2 linked regions of the Schizosaccharomyces pombe genome follow. The protein of the gene in region 1 binds, or shares a complex with, the protein of each later gene. Each region holds a gene or a part of one and is shown on either strand. Other genes may lie near its edges.

Region 1 (7,710 bases):
TAACTATGAAACCTTTTATAAAACAAGCAAACAAAAGACGACTACTTTTTGCATAATGAAAGATTGTAAAAAGGGGTATTCGCATGGCACGCTCCACCGTAAAAAAGAATGATAATAAATATAGCAACAGATAATTTAAAATATCTAGCTGACTGTTCTCCGAACTTATACTGCAGTAAAGCTGGCAAATATAAGATCATATCCAGGAAAGTCATACACTATAAATTCTTCACGCTTATAAGAGCTAAAAGATTTAAGTTTGGCCGAGAAATGCTTCTCTTGAGACGCACCTTTAGCCTGGAAAAGGGTAAGACAAAATTTGTTTGCACCAAAAGTTTTAACAGTTTTTTCGATTGTTTCAGATATGGATCTTCCGAATTGGAATTGCGAAACATTTGTTTCAAATGAAGCATAAGAACAATGTTCTTGAGGCGTAACATGGATTGTGGCATAGCGGTCCTTGTAAATCATATTCGACGAGAACCCAATTGGCTCAAATTGAAAAGCATCAAGCACTGCTTTTTTATCAGAGGTACTACATAAGTCTCTAACACCCGATTCATCAGCTACATAACTGCCAAGGATGTGACCCCCCGAGAGATTGTTTTTTTCTCGAACATAGTCATCACCTCTAGCGCTCCGAACAACATCCAAGGATGGAGCGTAAAACTGAAGCGAGCGTTCGGGAGACATATCAGTCATGAGTACCTCTAGGGTCTCATCTTCAGGATCAAGGGAATCTTCCAGTAAAGAATAATCATCAGCCAGATCAGAAAACAGATGCCAGTGATTCTTGTTTGTCGGACCCACTACATAAGAGCATCCACTTGGAAAAAACAGTTGTAAGTAACGAACTTCTTCCTCCCAACTCGTATGTGGTGCAAGCTGGCGTTCGGGATATAAAAAGTTTTTTCTTGAGTAAAAAATACGAAGAGGACGATCAAAGCCAACACTAGAAGCAATTTCTAATAGGCGAGGCAAACTAGCCAGTAGTGTAGTGGTTCCGCATGTTTTAAGGATAATTTTATGGGCAAACACAAACATAGAGGATTCAGAAAGTAAATATGCATCTATTTCTTCACTATTAACAACGCTGAGGACTTTACATTGGGCTTGGGCTAGCATATCATCCCAATCATTGCGAGAAACAGCTTTTAGTCCCAAGTTAGCCTTTTCACCCGCACTTAAATTGGTTTTTATAGGAGCCGAAAACCATAGTTCCAGCAATTTTTCAGGACCTTCAAATGAGGAGGTGTTAAATTCTTCCGAATTCTCTTGATCAACAACAAGGGTAGGAGACATTTTAGAATATAGTCATACAAAGAACTTCCAATGCTATATGTGCGCTGTGAGTGTAATTCCCAAAACACGTACTAGCTAGTTGCTCCAGTTACACTTTTAGGATATTTATTAGCAAAAAAGCATACAAATAATAACTTAATTGCGGCTGTCGCACCAATTTTATATGATGTTGAGGCTAAATACATAACCACAGAAACATCCTGTATCGATCAAAATTTTAAAACCCTACCCTAAATATTTTTGAATATGCTACAAATGACATCGACGCTAATAATAAATTTGGAAATGATGAGTTTACGATATTTTATACATATGATACATACCGTAGTCTAAGTTTCATTAGCGGCACAAACAACTTTAAAGAACCAAAAGTCTTGTTTTTAATGATTGGTAGAAATATTCTTTAAATAAATTAAGACATCGGTGATAGTAAATAGTAGGACTATACATGCGCGTATAATTCAAGTGTTTACGTTCAAATTAGCGAGCTTGTACCACAGATGATCCGTCCATAAATCGTACATGAAATAGTCGATTAGCATTGGTAAACATTCCTTCTTTAAGGCTAACAATAATAAACTGAGAACCTTTAAACTTTGTTTTAATAAGTCTTCCAATGTTTTGGGTATGACTTAAATCGAGCGCCGCGTCAATTTCATCTAAAATGTACATTGGAGCAGGCTTATATTTAAGTAGAGACATAATAAGAGCCAATGCAACTAGAGACCTTTGTCCACCACTAAGTTCTGCCAGACTATCTTTCCAAATTGACCCAATTTTTACATGAATTTCCAATCCATCAGTGAATTCTTTATTCTCTGGTGGCTGTAGTTCTGCACTATTACCAGGAAGTAGTTCGTCAAAAATTTCACCGAAAGAAGAATTGACTTCTCTCCAGGTTTTTTCTAAGGCACTCCTTTTAAACCGATCAATACTTTTGACAGTATCTTGGATCTTTTTCTTATCGCGATGAATGGTCTTTATCATAGAGCGCAATTTGGCTTCTTTCTTTTCTACACCGTCAATCATGTCCATAACCTTGGGATTAATAGCTTTACGCATACTAGCAAATCGCGGTTTCAAATTATGTAACTGCTCTCTACACTGACGCATGTTTTGAGAGTGAAAATCGAAAATGGTTCCTTGCTTACCAAAGTGCTGTTTCTGTCCATCTATCCAATCATTTTCCTTTTCCAAATGATTAATAGCAGTTATAGCAACTGATTTTTCTCGCTCTAATCGGTCAAACTCGTGGTTCAGCTTTTGAATTGTTAGCTCCCCATTGTTTATTTCAGATTCGAATGTTTTCATTGAGGTACTGAGTGAATCTATCTCTTTGTTAAGTCCAGAAAACTTGGCGCTTTCAATTTCTATTAGTTCGGTGAGTTTCTTTCGATTATGCTCCTCATTAACAAGTGACAGCTCAAGTTCTGCAATTTCCGTCTTTATTAAACTCGTGGTCGATTCACCTTGTACGAGAGATTGCTGATGGTTTTGCAATTCGCCTTCTAATTGTTCACATTCGAGTTTAACGCCATTATAGTCATTCTCGGACTTTTCCAATATAGGAGTAAACTCGTCTAACTTGTGCTTGTATTGATTAAACTCCTTTTCCAATTCAGCCATTTTTGATCCCTTGTTATGTTTCCATTCTTGCATGTCTCGTTCAATTTTTTTTATAGCTTGGTCACTTTGCAATATAAGTCTGTCTAATTCAGGAAGCCTTTGCTTGAGATCTTTAACGTCGTCTTTGTACTGCTGATAATCAGATAAAAGACGAAAAGATGAGTCGGTCTCTCTTTGCTCTATCAAAAGTGTTAATTCATGTTGCTTTAGTTGAATTTCTTGCTCAAGTCGATGAAAATTGGCATTTTGAGTCTTTAAGTCTTTAAGTTGAGTCTCCAACTTTTCATATTCTGAAGTAACTACTTGCAATTTTAGCTGCAGACTGTTCAGCTTTTGTATCTGTAGTAAAGGACCGGCAGATTTATTCACAGACCCACCAGTAAGGGTACCAGATGGGTCATAAACATCACCATCAAGCGTGACACTTTTTAATTTAACTGAAGGATGAAAGGTAACTTTCTTTGCCGATTCAGGGGTATCACAGACTAATGTGGAGCCAAAAACATACTGCATTGCAGGCAAAAGCTCATCGTCATAACCGATTAATTCCAAAGCAAGTTGGGCTTTATTATTAGAAATTTTTTTGGCTGCGCCTACTCTCTCTGCTGAAGCTACGAAGCTGGTAATTTTGTTGAGGGGAATAATAGTAACTCTCCTCTTCAGGTTTCCTTTTTGAAGCAATTGTGCACCAATTTTCTCGGTTTCAACAATGAGATTATAAAGGCGGCCACCAGCTGTAATTTCTAATGCAGTTTGCTTGTCATAATTCTCTTCATTCAAGGTTAGCAATTGAGCCACCAATCCTTTCACCTTTGAGCGATCAAAATTAGGAGTAGGGTCGGTATAAGTAAATTCCATATAAGCAAGTTTGCTTTTTAAAGCATCAAGTTCATTTAACAAATTGCCGCGATCTTTAGCAAGTTGCTTCAACTTTTGCTGGAGTACATCTTCACCTGTAATGTCGGAATTTGTATTTTTTAAAGACATTTTAAGCTTCTCAACATGGTTTTGTAATATATCGATTTCGCGATTGAGTTGATCACATCGTTTTGTAGCCTCAGCCTTCTTAGGTTTAGTTAAAGATATTTGTTTATTGAGTCCTTCAAGCTTTAATCGATTGGTTTCTTTTTCAGCTTTAAAGTCATTCAACGTATCTCGAGCTTCGTGTAGTTTTCTAGAATAGCCAGTTTCATGACCTTCTGTAGTGGAAAGACCAGTTGTAAGTGATGAAATTAGCTCTTCTTGAGACTTGAAATCCTTTGAAATACTTTGATGTTCATCTTTCCTTTTTTCGTATACACTAAGCACTTCATCTAGTCGTTTCCTTTTTCCGCGCAACAAAGTTTCTAATTCCTTAGCTTTTCCACGAATTTGTTGAAGGTCCCCATGCTCTTCCTCTAAAGCTGTATTCTTTAATTCTATCGACGTGCTTATTCTGGTGATGTTTTCATTAACAGTTTGTAACTGAGAGTCCAAGGTACGATCCGAAGAAACACTCATTTGTCTCATTCGCTCATCTTCAATTTTTTTAATCTTTTCCTTTAGTATTAAAACCTCCTGTTTCGATGTTTGTAATGAAGATTCCATCTCGGCGATATGGCTGTGCTTCTGGGATGCTTGAACCGTTAATTCCTCCACTTTAAGTGACAACTTATAATAGTCGTAAGCAGTACAAAGATGGCTTAATCGTTCCAAGTCATTATAAATATGTTGATATTCTAGAAAAGTTTTTTTTTCTGTACGAAGTTTGGTAAGTCGGGGTTCGATTTCCTCTCTTAACAGTGTATTAATCTCCTCAACCTTTGCTTCTTTTCGTTGCATTGTTCGAAAAGCCTTTTCTTTCCTTTCTTCAAACATTCGAGTACCAGAGGCTTCTTCAATCATTGATAAAATTTCAGTAGCCTTCATATTAAGAACCTTGGTGATTCGACCTTGCATAATTAAAAAATTAGGATTATTAATATTTAACTGAACAGACTGGAACAAATTTTGAACATTCTGTTGCAGAGCTCTATGTCCATTAATCAAATATTTGCTTGTACCGCCCATGATAATTTGTCTTGTAACGCTTACTTGCGGGTGATTCTCGAAACCAATTGGTGAAGACGCAGGATCCCGATTATTAAACACAATGGTAACGCTAGCTCTGGTTATTCCTGCCTGTCCGCGTTTGTAAATTAAGTCCTGTAAATTCTGGGCACGGACAGTCGACATATTCGTAATTCCCAAGACAAAGCATATTGCATCTAATATATTACTTTTTCCAGACCCATTGAGGCCCGTTATAGCATTAAATTGGTCATCCCAATTGCTAATGACAGTTCGCACAGCATATGATTTGAAACCATCAATGATGAGTTCCTCTATTTTCATTTCTTCAGTAAATTTCTCGTTCTGTTTGTTTACTGAAGCCCAAGTATTTAAGACTAGAATTCAAAAAACTGATTGACTTGTAAAGTATTTCCTAGAGGGAGATAAATCTTCAGCAGTACATTTCAGTCCGAACTGTTTGCTGTTTAGTGTAAAAATGATTAAAGCTGTTTGTCGTTTAAAGCATTAAAGGTGAAATAAGACTTCATAGTAGATATAAAAGAGTGCGACTACTCTAATAACATTTACCGCAACGTTAAACTACGTAATGATGCTTAGTATGCAAAAAGCTTACCGCTATTAACATTTTAGATTTATTAGTTTATGTATTTTAATACTTTCAAGTAACTTGTTTAAATTCTTTTTAATTTAAAACATATATTTTATCTTTTCTGTTATTTAACTATATTTGATAATCAGTACTGCACTCACTACACAAATGGGGCAAGGTGAATCCATTCCCAGTCGGCAAATTCAAAGGGACGCAAGTATGCAGGCGGTTTCATCAGAAAGTGAAAACATTAATGATTCAGATCGACAAAATTCTGGCTTTAGTAGGCTGTGGAATCGTTTTCCCTCTTTGCAGCGAGTCTTAGGTCTTCGAAGAGCAAAGCGGCATCGTAACGATGAAGGCAATTCGGAAAATGGTAATCGTGATAGAACTACTGAAAGATCGGCTTTTCGTTCTCGCTACCGTGGTTCGCTTTTGAATAGGAATTCTCCTTCTCTAAGGTCGTTAAGTCCACCAGCTACACCAGCTACTCCTCGCTCTCGTATAGAAGGCGAATCACAAACATCTGCAATACCTCAAACAGACAGGTTAATCCTTGAAAATCACCAACAGGAATTTGAACGTGCTGCTAGAAGATTTCGTTCTAGTATTGCTGCTTTACGCAATTTAAATACCCAAAACAATCAGTCTACGTTGGCATCGAATCATGAAGATGAAAACGTCAGTTCGAGCGGTGGACAGGAAATGCAGGATCATGGCTCTGTAAATAATTTAGAATCTCCGGGAACTGCAATTGGAAGATTGCCGGTAAGATCTGTCACTTCTCTAGCGGACTCAAATATGGAGGACTATACTCGTGCGGTAATGAACTATATTAATAATAGTGAAAATACTCAACAAGCATCTGTTTCTCCAGAAGAAAGTCAACTAGTCATGCTTTCTCGATTTGTGTTTTCAGTAGCGTCTGGTTGGGTTAGTGTACTGATGAATTCTTCGAGTGCACATCAATCAAACAATTTAGAATTTCCTTCTTCAATTTCTGGAAATGTGGAATCTGGAAATGTTGCTTTCGATGAATTTTTATCGCTTTTGCACGCTGGTAATCTGGTGCAGGCGATGAACGCAGAAACTAATCCTAGGACTGCAGAACTAATTGCAAATGCTGTGGATCTTGAAGAAGAATCTGGTCCTATAAACCTTTTTCGAACTTTTAGATTTGACAATTTACACCGAAATCATGAAGGTCAAGAAGTAATCCCGATTATAATAGTTGGCATCCGAAGTCTAAGAAATTCAGGAAGTGATGAAGATGATCAACCAAGTGCCGATTCCCCAACTTTAATGCATCCTTCTGATTTGATATCTTCACTTGTTAACTCGCAAAATCAGACAACGTCCGTTAGTGATAATACGGGGCCAAATGAAAATGTTAATGAGGCAGAACATATTTCCGAAGACGAGCAAGCTTCTACTGCTACAGACGTAAATGGGATTTCCGATAATAATGGATCCTCCACTCAACAAGCACCTGAAACTAGAAATAATAATTCGCAAACGGACCACCAATTGCCCAGAAGCTGGGCCATATACGTTCGAGAAGCTTTTGTACCTCAAAATCATCCTGTTTTGAGAGCACCTTCACTGTTTACTGATTCACCAACGTACGAGGACATGCTTTTATTGAATTCTATTATCGGTATTGAAAAGCCGCCAGTGGCTTCACAAAAAGACCTTGAAAAGGCAGGTGGTGTATTCCCTTTTTCGGGAACCGATGAAAGATGCCTTGTTTGTCTATCAAATTTTGAGTTGAACGATGAGTGTCGCCGTCTTAAACAATGCAATCATTTTTTTCATCGTGAATGCATAGATCAGTGGTTAACTTCAAGCCAAAATTCATGCCCCCTGTGTCGTACTAAAGGTGTTGCTTCAGCATCTACTCCGTCCTCTCCCAAGCCATAATCAACATGATCAATCATCATGACAATTTTGTTGCTTTAAAAACTTTTCGGATTCCTTCCACCAAAACGATTTTGAATGTATTTACCCATATATTTTATTAATGTTCCTTGTTTCCTTTTAGCTATGAGAATTTAAAAGGGCATGTCACAACCCTTCCTCTCGACCTGACGATCCTTAAAGCATAGCTTATAAAGCCAAAACGGGCTTGTTTCCTTTTCTGT
Region 2 (6,703 bases), on another chromosome or scaffold:
AAATTCTTCTCTTCCCAGGAAGGATAGTTTGAAGTTATCCTTAAAAGGTAGTAGACCTTTGACAAAGAAACGAGGAAAAACGTCTAGTACGCTAAGATAAAAGAATAAGAGAGGTGAAAATCATAGCTGGCTTCATATAAGCAGCCAAACTAGTTATTATAGTACTAGATGAAGCTGAATGCGCAGTTTAGAAGTCATTTTATCCCATAATTTCAAGAAAGTAAAGGCAAGATAAAGATAGCCAGATAGAGTCATTGAAAAAGACGACGAAAAGGCGTAAAACAAAGAGCGCAGAAATGAATAATCTAAAAAATTACAAATGAAGTATTAACGTATTAAAAGGAAAAAAGTATGAAACGCAAATAACTGATAATAAAATGATTAGCAAGCTAGTTTCTTTAAAATCGGCGTACAGTTTCCCTCTTTTTGTTTGTCAAAGAAGAGTAAGCGTAGGAAATGCCAGTATTCCCTTTGTAAAGACATGTACGAAAATTAAAGCAACTGTACCAAGATAACCAAAGAGGCTGTTAGAAACAATTTTTTTAGACTTGTTGCTCGACAGTCTCAAATGCCGATTCAACAGGAGGCTCAAAGAAAGCAGCGTGTCCGAATACACAGACACAGGAAGCACCAACTAACCAAATGATAGTTTCGATGGGAGATGCGAACAGCCCAAGAGGAATCAACACGCATGCTAGAATGACATAAAGATTTTGGTTGGAAATTACACGATGGCTAAGTTGTAAATCAGCTCCTTGAAGCTTACGAATACCATAAACACCACCAACACCAATTCCAATGACAATTAAAAGTAAAGGGTTACGGATAAGTGCGTAAATAACGAGCATAGCAATGATTGCAAGATAGTTAGAAGAAAACCTCGAAAAGTTGAAGCTAATTCTCGACTGAGCTTCACTGAAATTCCTAGGTCTAGAAATTCTACGAACATCCAAGAACTCGCCCACCGATTTAAAACCACTTAGATACTGAGCCTACCATTTTGCGTTAGTGAATTGATCTTTTCAAGTTTACTACTCATAGTTCATTAATTCATACCCTTGAAGCGTAAATTTCTGAGAAAGTCTCCGAAACTTTAGTAATACTCAACGACAGTGCTGACATTATGAAAAACCGTAGTAGGTGTCTTAGATATAGGGAAAGGATAAATTCTACTTTTCCTGGATGTTGACAAAGTATTCTAAGCCATTGATTGTTACCCACTGTAAAGTACATTGAGAAAGCAACGCTAAATAGATATTGTGCAACAGAAAAAATTGTAATAATTGTATTGCATAACTCATTTTATTTAAATTATGAATCACTATCGTATATAGCGTAATTTTGCTTTAAACGCTATTTCAAATCTATGGTAAAACTAGATGAACTAACGTTGCTGCGAAAGTTCATAGATTGCTTATAAACCTATTTCTTTAACTAAAAGGATGTATTTTAACTTTATTTTACTGAGCCAAAGTCCATTCGTTGACGGTGTTGAAATTATTCTACAGCTTGGTCATTGACAAATTTCATTTTCTCTGATAATTCATTTAATAATTTGTATCAAAAAAAAATAGATTCTTGAGAAAGATTAACATAAAAGATAAAATTACCCTACATTTCTGTACTCAAATCGATATGTTCTAACTTTGAAAGGGTTTCACAATATATGAATAACCGTATATTGGTACAATTTAATCCTATTATAGGTAAAAAACCTCACATAGAGACAATAAATAATTATTATTTTTTGTTATATTGTCGAGAATAGAAGCATGTAATGAATGCAATATCTCGTTATTTCCAAAGAGTCAACTGCTAAGTGAGTTCCAACAGAATTAACAGGCAGAAGCAAGATACTGATGTCTTCAACGATCACAAGATAAAAGGAAGGTGTATTTTTTACAAAAAATTTCGCTGTCAGCTTGCTCCACAAAATGCAATTTGCACTCTTCATTTTTCACAACTCTTCAATGTCAAAAAGTAGTAACAGCCTAAAAATACGAGCTAGTGTTTTTATTATTCAAGGTAGATCAAAAAGAGTATAATTTCCGGCTATCTTGAAAATGATTCACGCTAGCTAAAAGTATGCGATGATGACTAATTAATGATGACCTGCATCATTTCGATTCTACACACTTTAAACATCATTTTCTAATGCTTCTAGCGTCGTCAAGTTAGGACCTGGCCTAATAAAAACATCTGAAAAATCTTCGTTGCTTGTAAGCTCTAAATTATGTTCATTCGCCAAATGTAAAACACAAATAAAGGCAAAACTGGTGGATATATCTTTGAGTTCTTTTTTCTCGTATGTCTCCTCTAATTGATTGACAGTGGAAAAAAAAGATTTGACTGGCATGTTGGTTTCTTCTGACTCCATCTCCGAACCCTCAATATGAGAGTTGATGGAATTTTCTTTAATTGTGTTTTCAAGATCTAGACATTTCCATAGCTTTTCTTTCAGTACTCGCACATCAACCTTTTTAGCACGCTTCGCATAATTCAGCATATCTGGTTTTGCCAAACGAGCAGTTAACAAAAGGTTATCACCAAATCCTGATGATGATGGAGGTGTAAGCAGAGGTGTTTGCTTAGGGCTATCGGAATCTCCAAATCCATACGGGGGTATTCCTTCATCAACATTATCACTGCCATCAGAATCGAATCCATGGGGTTGAATACCGTCCAAATCATTCTCATCATCTAAGGCTTTATTCAGTTGTAGCTGTCCTTCTCCATCAGCGTTGGGTAGAACTGACATCTTTGGTTTCAAGAAAAGCTGTAAAAGCCTCTTAGAATCATATTGGTAGTCATCAGGTAGTAAACATCGATTATGTCTTTTCCAATGAGACTTGGGAAGCTTGAGACTGCTGGTTGCAGGAGTGAACAGTGCTTCGACGTCTACTTCCTGCAAGAAATCAATGGCGTTATCAAGTTCTCGACGCTTTTTCCGTTCCGTGGAAGAAAGAGAACGCGATACATTATCTGAACTTTCAGCCGTATTGGAAGAGTTGAATACAGTTGATGCGTTATTGATATTTTTTCTCAATGCCTGAATGCGCCAATGTTCGGGTCCAGCCCAGTTCTTTTTCATTGACTTGTCAAAATATTCGTATACTCCATTCGCAGCGGCAGTAGAAATAATAGAATAATTTTCATTCATAGTACTTCCATCAGCCATATTGACTTCAGTATCCACACCAAAATCTGGATTTTCGGATTCGTCCATTGCTTTTGGTACTACATCAACATATGGGTTCTCCTCATCGTAAGCCATTTCCTCCAAAGCATGCACAATATGTCCTTCTTCACCATCGGAATCGGAAGAAAGGGAAGCTGCATCAGCATCAGTTTTCTCCATCGTATTATCCACTAAGGAGGTTGTCGTTATCATGTTAACTTCATCACTTAATGATTTTAAGAGAGAGACATCAAGATTCCCTTTACTATCAAATTCAAAGCCCTGTAAGGAGGGACATATTGTCAACTGATCAATATCGGTAAAATAGCATTTGTAAATACCATTCAAGGTCTCCCTAGAAATATTGTCATGCACATTAGTCATTTCTGTGTCATGGCTTTCGATAGGCGCTGCGACTACCGCTTCCTGCGATTCAGCTTCAACATCTTTATTTTCCAAATCCTTGATGACAGTATCGCTAGAATCGAATACAATTCGTCCATGTTGATCAACACAAAGATGATTCATTAATAAGCCTTTAGCACCATCCTCATCAAAATCTGCACACATTTTCTTGAATAAAGGATCAAAAGAACATTCTAACTCAAATTTTTTAGCGCGTATTGACTCGAAATCTTTAACGAGAGTCTTTACCGAACGTTGTGCACGCTTTCTCTCTTTCTTTTTCTGTAGATCCTCATCATCATTTTCAGCATCTTCGCCTTCTTCCGTTTGCTGCAATACTTTGGAATCGTTTGCCAATCCACTGAGTAGCTTGCCGGTCTCAGTAGCAACAGAATCAATACGCGAAGTATAAATTTTCACGCATCCGTCTAATGTACAGCTTGCCTTTTGGAAATTTATATCTTCACCATCACGTAGAAGCGACATGTCGTGAAAATAGTCAATAAGCGCAAAATTCCAGGTATTTGTGGAATTAATTTTGTTGTCAGTAGCTAATTTAATCCATTCCTCAAAATTAGAAAGAACAGGAACCTGATGAGAGCTATTAAATGGTGAAGAATTGTTTAGAGATTCTCTTCTTGGCGTTATTGAGTGCAGAGCTGAACTTCTTCGCAACTCGCGCTGCTTACGGCTGTTCTCTTTAGCTCTTTTTTTTTCTAATGCATCGTCATTTAAGGAGGGTAAGCTAACGGGCGCATGCCCGCCTAAACTAGCTCTTTTCATTGATTTAAGTAAATGTTTATGTTCACAAGTGGTAAGTCGGTGTGCCTATACGTATATCGCGCTTTAACGATATGCCGTATATTTCTTTCTAATCAACAAATGATAAAGATTCAAATAAGTTTCTAAATAAATGCCAATATGATAACATTATTTTTCTTTTGAAATTTGTTTTCAAATAATATAGTATTTCCCAATTTACTTCATTGATGGCTTCCCGATTACAAAGTCAAAAGTCTTTTGTTTATTATTCTGTTACAAATTTTGTGAAGTTTCAATTATTATAAATCTTCCATATAAAATTAACAAGGTAATACCAAATCAAGTTTGGATCCTAAAATTCAGTAGCTATCAAGTTTTAAGAGAATTTTATTTTTCGTTTTCGTTTATTTAAACTTGAACTTCGTAGTATTGTGGAGCAAATGGATATATCTAAGACAGTATATCTCTTAACATTTTACTTCTAAATCACTCCTGAATGCAATCCACTGAATGGTATGCGCATTTATCCTGACTCTCAAAATATTCAACCAATATCAAATGCAGACGATGTAAGACAGAAAATTGATTCTATTCTATATTAAAAAATAAAAAGCATTAGTGTACCATCAGATATAATGCGTGCTTTTTAAACGAACTATTATAATTGTACAGCTGCCCATATATTCATGTACCATCAATTCTCCAAGAGCATCATTGTCTAGTTTAAATAGCCACGACATGTTGGAGCACCACACAAACAAGGAATCTTATCAGCTTCTTCCGGAAACTTGTAATCATAAGTAAGTTCCTCTCCATGCATAATATCCCTGTCAGCATAAATTACGATTTTTCTTTTCCCTTCAACTCTAATAATCCTAGCTATACAATTAGGAGCGCATGAATGATTGATGAAACGCGCGATATTTCCCTTTTTTGTAGCATCAACGATAACATCCTCGTCAATACGGAACAAATAACTGTCTCCAATACCTTCACGAACGTAGTTCTTTTCACGATTATCAGCCACCCGTTGTCGAATGATTTCTCCAATATACTCTATGACCATATCATTTTTATCAATGTTTTCCATGGCAAAAAGCCCTAATGTATGAATGCGACTAGGGCCAAAATGTAATTGCTTTTTACGAGCCTTTAGTGCATTGAATCTGAGCAAGTCAGCTTCGGCTGGCAATTGAGACTTTTCAACTCCAGCAGCCAATCTTCTATTGTTAACACGATTCATTCGTGATGTGATACGGCTTGTAGAATGACTAATAGTATCGATGGTTGATCGATTACGAAGTGGTAGATATAGTGATTTTTCGGTAGTTGGAATAATATAGTATCCCTCACTTTTAGCAGAACCGCTAGTATTAGAGCGAAAATAACCTTTAGGTTCTGGAAGAATAGCCGTATCTCCATACTTAACATCCCCATTCTTAAATTTACATGACTTGCGTTCATAAGCCCAGAAATTGGGATCGTTGATATCCATGAGGGGTTCATCCTTGAGTGCCTCTTGAAGATATGAGTAATCTTCGTCATTTTTTACCAAGTACTGTAGACCATCCAAGTCAAGAAGTACATCGTCTTCTGGATAATTGTAAGGAAGTGCACCATAATAAACGCTTCCAGTTTCATCAAACTCATTAATACGCCATTTGGGAGCTAAAGCTAAAACTTCATCAATCTCTTTCTTAGGCGATATGAGTTCATCTTTTATGGCGCTACCTGATTTTGGAATCGCAGCACTAGGAGAAAGTATTGATGCATCTGATTCGGTTTCGCTGGACGAAGTATAGTCAACTTCCATCTTTTCATATTTTTTCTTTGATATTTTAGATTTTGTACGAAAACGATGGAATTTGTCATTTTCATCAGATGTATCAGAAAAAACTGGAGTCGCCTCGTCAGACTTCACAGACTTTATTGAGCCAATCTTCCCTCTTTCTACACGCTCGTCTCCAGAAGATAACAAAAGTTCTTGATCAGACTCGGCTTCAGAAGCGCTTGAGTTATACATTTGATTAAGCTGGTAGTGTAAAGGTCGAGCTTCGTGCCTTCTTCTACGTCTTCTTTGAAGTTTCGACTTCGTTTTACTACCCGCTGAAAGATTCATTTTACTGGAATCAACTCGTTTTTTAAATTTGGGAAGACTGGGGAGCTTTCCGACTGTTGATTCAATTTTTAAAGGAACATCAGGAACACTTGTAGATGAAACCAATAAATTTTCTTGTAGTTCTTCCTTAACAGAAGGCTTAGGCATTGAATGAAGATATTTGAAGATTGCCGGTCCAATTATTTTACTTTTTACATCACGTAACAAAGCAGCCTCAAGATCTCTAAGCACAACTGAGG

The links.
Region 2: cut14 (region 1) and cnd2 share a complex: the UniProt entries of both Schizosaccharomyces pombe proteins name them as parts of the condensin complex.

What each region holds. Positions count from the first base shown.
Region 1 is NC_003423.3:2,876,068-2,883,777, forward strand, and holds cut14 (condensin complex SMC subunit Smc2), read right to left. Parts: upstream 5,302-7,710; coding exon 1,783-5,301; 3' UTR 1,620-1,782; downstream 1-1,619. Other genes in the region: S-adenosylmethionine decarboxylase proenzyme Spe2, read right to left, coding at 166-1,302; SPOM_SPBP4H10.07 (ubiquitin-protein ligase E3), read left to right, coding at 5,738-7,489. UniProt on the Schizosaccharomyces pombe protein: Central component of the condensin complex, a complex required for conversion of interphase chromatin into mitotic-like condense chromosomes.
Region 2 is NC_003421.2:407,702-414,404, forward strand, and holds cnd2 (condensin complex non-SMC subunit Cnd2), read right to left. Parts: upstream 4,391-6,703; 5' UTR 4,367-4,390; coding exon 2,138-4,366; 3' UTR 1,653-2,137; downstream 1-1,652. Other genes in the region: yip3 (Rab GTPase-binding protein), read right to left, coding at 543-992, 1,057-1,122; histone H3-K4 methyltransferase Set1, read right to left, coding at 5,064-6,703. UniProt on the Schizosaccharomyces pombe protein: Regulatory subunit of the condensin complex, a complex required for conversion of interphase chromatin into mitotic-like condense chromosomes.